2 linked regions of the Daphnia pulex genome follow. The protein of the gene in region 1 purifies or fractionates together with the protein of each later gene. This does not show direct contact. Links are inferred from orthologs where the notes say so. Each region holds a gene or a part of one and is shown in the gene's direction. Other genes may lie near its edges.

Region 1 (4,296 bases):
GCATTCTTGCTTGTAAGAAACGGTGAAATCATAGTTCACCTTTTGCCTTTGTAATAGCGAGTCGAGATTCGAGAAACGTCTAGAAAGCCTCACGTCTGGTAAACCCCACGTGGTTTTTCTTCTTCAGAAATCTTTTGTTCACTCAGTCGATAAGATTACAACGAGTTATAAAGTTTGTAAACCTGTACAACAAAATTCTTGTTGTTATAAATTTTGTACAGAAAAAAAATAAAGAAGATTTTTTTTTTAATTCTTCAGCTTCAGGCAAAACAATTTAATTCAGGTGACAGATAGGAATGCCCTTTAAAGCCTTGAAGTAAACAGAAGCTTGACATTGAGTTCTCCAAGAGCAATTTTATCTTGTGGAATTCACATTAAGGTTTTTACTGAATTTCACCTATGGCGTGTGACTCATAACGAGATTTTGACTAAGAAATTATCATTCTTTCCTTCCAGGCTTCCAGGAAACTTGTTCGTATTTATATCGAAACAGATATTTTCCTTGAATTTAGGCCCCAACGTCGAATGCTGCAGTGCGGCATTAGACACAGGTTTACACACACCGAGTTCCTCTGTTGGGTTTCCTCTATGTCAATGGCCTAGGTTGCCGAACCCAATTCCCTTGTAGAGATCAAGGAATGAAGGTGTGTCATATCAACGTTGCGTAATTGACCTCCAATTGTTGTTATTTATTGCCATTAACCAACTCCCAACATTTTAATCGTAAATGAACTTTATGTAGTAATTATGAGTCGCAAAGGGTGTGACGATTTTAAGATGATGGTAGGCTGTGTGGTGCAAGATGGACTTCCAGCAGTCAAACTCAAACCATCTGGTTTAATTATTTTTATCACAGGTGAGTAGTGACAGGTGTCAGAACTACCAGTGCGCACAATGCACGAACCATGAAATATCTATGAACGTTTCAACACAATATAATTAATTGTTTTAAATAAAAGGCTTTGATGATGTTAGCAAACGATCAATTAATCGATTTCTAAATTAACAGATATCGGAAAAAATTAAATGAGAAAACCTGCAAGATTGTTTGCAAGTTTTGTTCAGAGGAAAACATTTTCTGTCTGCTGGTGTATATTTTATTATTTTGCTTCCTTAATCCTTATCGTTGTTTGGAAGTTGGAAACTTAAAAGATTAGCAGTTTTTACTGGCTGAAAAAAATTTTGAAAGCTATTCTTACTTTTGCTTGTGTAATAAGATGAGATTTTCAAATCAAAACTGTCAATAACAATTCAAGTAGTTAAATGTAGAAAATGCTTTTTTTGTTACATGCAAGTAAGAGTAATTCTTTTAAAATTCAACAAAGTATGTAGAAAAAATTCTACTCAAAACAAAACTGATTAATCAATGATTTTTTGTTGAAAACGATTTTCAAATTGAATCAAATTTGCGCCATCGTTATTCCGCGCAATTTTTCTTTCTTTCTCCGTGGGCGAATTGGTTGAAAAGCTTGCGGGGGTTACTTTTCCGGTCCTTTCGGCTTACTTGGAACTTGTACGTGGCCTTATTTTTCTGTATTCAATTTTGGCCAAATTAAGTAAATTATATGTTGATTTTATTGTTTAATCATAGTTATAAAATGTCTAAATTAGTGAATATTACTGTCAAGTTTTGCGAGATCGTCACTATCGCGTTTAAAATCATGACAGTGACACGTGAGTTTTCATGTGTATCTCTGCAAGCTGTTGAAGAAGGAGAAAGTAGGTCTGCAGCTATTTATTAACAGCATCTCCTTTTCTGTTGTTGATGTACAGGAAGCCTAGAAAATGGCTGCAGCCAGGAGAAAAGCCTTTGAAGAAACAGACAAGCTCACTAGGATAGCCATTATCAATGCGGATAAGTGCAAACCTAAACGTTGCCGTCAGGAATGCAAAAAGTCTTGCCCTGTGGTGCGTATGGGCAAGCTCTGCATTGAGGTAGCTCCTACCGACAGGATTGCTGTCATCTCTGAAACCCTCTGCATTGGTTGTGGTATCTGCGTCAAGGTAATTAATTTCACCCATTCCAATTAAAAATAGACTTTTAATTGCATTATCTAATTTCAGAAATGTCCCTTCGAAGCAATTACCATCATCAACTTGCCAAGTAACTTGGACTCTCAAGTTACTCATCGCTACTCTCAAAATTCATTCAAGCTCCACAGACTCCCAACTCCCCGTGCTGGTAGGCATTCACAAACAATTGCCATAAAATAAATTTATTTTTAATAATTAACTTTTATTAATTAGGTGAAGTTCTCGGTCTGGTCGGCACAAATGGTATTGGCAAATCCACTGCCCTGAAGATTTTGGCAGGAAAGTTGAAACCCAATTTAGGCCGATTCAAGGTTGAACAAACATTTACTAAACAAGCAATTGAGCCCCTTTAACGATTCAAAATCTCGTTTAATTGCACAGGATCCTCCAGAGTGGTCCGAGATTTTGACATACTTTCGCGGTTCCGAGCTCCAAAATTATTTTACCAAAGTTTTGGAGGACGACTTGAAGACGGTGATCAAACCGCAGTACGTGGACCAGATTCCCAAAGCCGTTAAAGGAAGTGTCGGTGAGATGATCAAGCGCAAAGCTGAGAGCGGAAATGAAGCTGAAATGATACGAATTCTTGGTAATAAAACAAATTACCCTTCAGCCGATTTTATTAGACTGACATCATTTTAAAATAACAGATCTTGGACACTTGACCGAAAGAAATATCGAAAATTTATCTGGTGGAGAGTTGCAGCGTTTTGCTTGCGCCACTGTCTGCATCCAAGACGCTCACGTTTACATGTTCGACGAGCCGTCGAGTTACTTGGACGTGAAACAGCGTCTGAACGCCGCCAAGGCTCTGCGTTCCCTGTTGCATCCGACCAAGTACATTGTCGTCGTCGAACACGACTTGTCGGTTCTGGACTACTTGTCCGATTTCATCTGCTGCCTCTACGGAATTCCTGGTGTCTATGGTGTGGTGACGGTCCCGTTCTCGGTCCGCGAAGGCATCAACATTTTCCTCGACGGTTACGTGCCAACGGAGAATTTGCGTTTCCGCGAGGAATCGCTCGTCTTCCGTGTGGCCGAATCGGCCACCGAGGAAGAAGTCAAGCGACTTCATCATTACGAATATCCAAACATGAGCAAAACACTCGGCGATTTCAAACTGAACGTCAACACTGGATCCTTTACCGACGCCGAAATTATCGTCCTCCTCGGCGAAAATGGAACAGGTTCGTTTTATTCACCCGTAATTTTAAGTTTCATTTCTTAATTAAAATTCTAATCAATAGGCAAGACAACCCTGATTCGGTTGATGGCTGGTTCACTGACACCGGACGCTGGATCTGGTGAAATTCCATCTCTCAACATTAGTTACAAACCGCAAAAGATTAGCCCAAAATCGCAAAGTACCGTCCGCGTTCTACTCCACGACAAAGTTCGCGATGCCTACACCCATCCGCAGGTATTTGGAAGCCCCTTGTTTTCCTTCTAAAAAGTTAAAATTAATGATTCAATTTTCTCTCAAGTTCGTGGCGGACGTGATGAAGCCGTTGAGAATTGAAGACATTATCGACCAGGAGGTTCAGAATTTGTCTGGTGGTGAACTTCAGCGTTTGGCCATCGTCTTGTGTTTGGGTAAAGCCGCCGATGTTTACCTCATCGACGAGCCGTCTGCCTATCTCGATTCCGAACAGCGTCTAGTAGCAGCCAAAGTTATTAAAAGGTTACTTTCATTCCTTCAGTTTTATCCGTGTAAATGTCATAAAATGTAAAATAATGGATTGGTGTCGGTTGACTAGATTTATTCTGCACGCCAAGAAGACGGCGTTTGTCGTCGAGCACGATTTCATCATGGCCACTTATTTGGCTGACCGCGTCATCGTTTTTGAGGGCCAACCTTCAATCGAGTCAAGAGCCAACGCTCCTCAAGCTCTTCTGCCCGGCATGAACCGCTTTCTCGAGCTGTTGGCCATTACGTTCCGCCGAGATCCCAACAACTACCGGCCACGAATCAACAAGGAGAACTCCGTCAAGGTTGGGGTTTTTTTCTTTCTATTTTTGATGTACACAAGTAACTGGATTGTGTGGCTTAAACTAAATGCAAATTTGTTCTTTTGGTGTGGTGAAAACAGGACGTGGAGCAGAAGAGATCGGGCAATTACTTTTTCTTGGAAGATTAGAAACAAGTTTGGATCCGCCACTCGGAGCTCCGTTAAATCGGATTTCTGCAGAGTTCTCTGTAAATTGTTGGGTCAAGAAATACAAATCTTGTTTTGTTGCGCCCGGCATTCTTGGCATTTCGTG
Region 2 (2,677 bases), on another chromosome or scaffold:
TTGTGGGGAGCAACTGGACAACCCATGAATTTTTTGGGCTTTGGAGAGCTGACGGAAGGGCGTTTACGTGAATGGCACTGTGTTTACATGGATCCAGAACAATCACATAAATGGAATCACAAGTTGTGTACAAGGTATAACCTTTCAGCAGTTTTACAAGATATTGATTCTAATAACAAATACTTACAATGCAGAAATCTCCACTATATTTGTGAACTACCATTAACAAAGGCGACTCCAGCCCAAATTTTGCAATGAATCGGCCAAAAAATATATGATTTCATAAACTTACCTTGATATAGGTGCAAAGTGCATCTCCTTTCACCTGTCCATTCTCATTTCTGTAGAGCTTTATTTTATGTTTCCCAGTTTCCAAGTCTTTTTCAATCATTCCACACTTTTGCATAAACTCAACAATTTCTTCTTCATTTATCTCAGTGGGAAGATTGGTGACATAAACTTTAGTGTTCTTGGTTTGATCAACTTCAAACCAATTTGGCTCACTGACTTGCTTTTTCTCAATTTTCGGTGGAGGTTCTACCTTTTTCTTCTCCAGTTCAGCCACTGGTTCTGTACTTGCCTCTCCACCATAACTTAACTGATATCGAGCAATAAATTCTTCATCCAACTTTGGAAACCAGGCTTTTTTTTCTTCATCCCATTCGAAAATAGTTCCATCAGAGGGATCAGTGTAGGTTTTCACTCCATCACTATTCACATGAACATGATGATTGATCACACTTTTTTTCTGTTCAAGTAATTTTTCTTCTCCGCTTTCATCTGATGAATCAAACTCTTCATCAGGATTCTTGGCAATCCTTCTGATGGTCTGTGTTTCAAGTTTAGGTTTCCACTCTTTAGCTTCAAGATCCCATTCCAAAAGTCTTCCACTTTCATCTTTATACACATAAGTATTTCCCACCCTTTCGTATTTTGCCTCGGCATTAGAATCAGCGGTAACTTGTGTCTCGATTTTAGTATTGGGCTCCCATTTCTTTTCCTCAGCATTCCACTTGTATTGATACCCCGTCGCAGGATCTGTATGGATGCAAACATCACCTTCGTACGAGTACGATGATGCATTCATTTTTAGTTGTTACGACATCCACTTCTATACGTACGATTGATACTAACTCTTAACTGTTTGTTTCCATGCGAAGGAAAAGAACAACGTTTTTTGAAACTTCAACTTCGATTTCTTTTACAAGTGGTCTGCAACTCTGCATTTTGCAAGAAAGCACATAACAGCATTGCCCTGCTGCAAAATCACTCTTTTGTCTGATTGGACTTTGGACTGTTTGGAGATAAGTCATAACTCGTAAGTCTAAAAAATGCTCAAGATAAAATAAATTGTGTGTTAATTTTTAATTTCATTTTTTTTTCTTCATTATTTAAATTAACGGTTACCGGCAGCGTTTTGTTTGGGATGCGTCATCTGTCTCTAGTCTCTCTGGTCTCTGCTTCGTGCTTACACACCCGTTGGTAGATAGAGCTCTTTTGTTTTTAATTTTCAGAAATTCGTCTGCTTAAATCATCGCATACTGAAAACGTGGCTTAACTGTTCATTTTTCTCTAGTTTAAAATGAATTCACGATGAATTCGTTACACTTGCTATGGCTGTGAACAAACAAGAAAGCGATTTCGATATTCAAGACGCTTTTGATTCATTATTAGTGTCTGAAGACAATTTAGTGGCAAAAGCTTATGAAGAAGGATTACTTCAAGGAGAAATAGCAGGATTTCAAGAAGGATTTGATTTAGGACGTCAAAAAGGCAGCGAAATTGGGTCGGAAATTTTCTTCTATCGTGGGTTTGCTAAAAGTTGGATTGCTTTGCTATCGGGTGATTTGAGTGAAGCTTTTAAACAACTACTGGAATTGTGCCCTGTGTCCTTAAATCCGGATGTTGTACATGAGATACATCAAATTGAACTGAAAAATAAAACAGAAGAGGCAGATTCAAAATCTCTCAAAGCATTGGAAAAATTGCTTACATTGCTGGAACGTTTCCCACAGGAAAATCCAAAAAATCAAGATATTGTAAGTTTACTTCAAGACATTCGTGCCAAATTCAAGCATTGCTGTGCTATCCTCAAAGTTGATGCTAGCTATTCTGCTAATAATCAACTGAACTTTTGATTTCTAAATACAATATGGGAACAAAACAAGAAACAGCTCTAGCTGCTCTAAAAACACTGTCAACATTTCTGGAGCCATTTCTTCCTATTGTAAACACACACATGGTTCACTTTTATACTGATCAAGTATTTGAAAAATTAAGTCAAGATTTGCAGTCAGATTTGATGGCACTCTCCGATACTCAGATTGCTGAGCTTCCCAACGATTATCTGAACATCAGTAAAAGCAAACCAGTTCACATTGCCTCAAATTTACTCCAGCTAATGGAAGATATTGATGAACATAATTTAGATTCTTTAAATGTTCTTGATGATCTCCCGTCAGTGTGGAAAGAGATGGATATAAAGCCCTTAACTTCGTTGATCCATTTTGATAAATTCATGACGGTGAAAAAATCTCACGAGGTTGGAGCCCTTTGCGATACGATAGCATCGTTTGCAAATTATACTGATAGCAAACTGATTGTTGATTTGGGTTGCGGAAAAGGAGCGCTAGCATCGATGCTATCACTGAATCACGGATTATACGTCTCAGGTATC

What was found. The genes of interacting proteins can lie anywhere in the genome.
Region 2: the proteins of protein Pixie-like (region 1) and protein LTO1 homolog purify together in Homo sapiens (affinity purification with mass spectrometry; 4 studies listed by BioGRID and IntAct, with this or other methods). This does not show direct contact. The link is inferred for Daphnia pulex from reciprocal best matches to the Homo sapiens genes ABCE1 and LTO1.

What each region holds. Positions count from the first base shown.
Region 1 is NC_060026.1:16,235,585-16,239,880, reverse strand, and holds protein Pixie-like, read left to right. Parts: upstream 1-1,392; 5' UTR 1,393-1,513; exon of another isoform or gene 1,514-1,556; intron 1,557-1,773; 5' UTR 1,774-1,785; coding exon 1,786-2,004; intron 2,005-2,064; coding exon 2,065-2,182; intron 2,183-2,247; coding exon 2,248-2,345; intron 2,346-2,415; coding exon 2,416-2,623; intron 2,624-2,684; coding exon 2,685-3,221; intron 3,222-3,281; coding exon 3,282-3,454; intron 3,455-3,518; coding exon 3,519-3,715; intron 3,716-3,791; coding exon 3,792-4,026; intron 4,027-4,124; coding exon 4,125-4,172; 3' UTR 4,173-4,280; downstream 4,281-4,296. UniProt on the Homo sapiens protein: Nucleoside-triphosphatase (NTPase) involved in ribosome recycling by mediating ribosome disassembly. Able to hydrolyze ATP, GTP, UTP and CTP. Splits ribosomes into free 60S subunits and tRNA- and mRNA-bound 40S subunits.
Region 2 is NC_060018.1:5,350,961-5,353,637, reverse strand, and holds protein LTO1 homolog, read left to right. Parts: upstream 1-1,613; coding exon 1,614-2,138; downstream 2,139-2,677. Other genes in the region: C-type lectin domain family 10 member A-like, read left to right, coding at 1-134, 195-258; HIV Tat-specific factor 1 homolog, read right to left, coding at 293-1,087; probable methyltransferase-like protein 25, read left to right, coding at 2,153-2,677. UniProt on the Homo sapiens protein: The complex LTO1:YAE1 functions as a target specific adapter that probably recruits apo-ABCE1 to the cytosolic iron-sulfur protein assembly (CIA) complex machinery. May be required for biogenesis of the large ribosomal subunit and initiation of translation.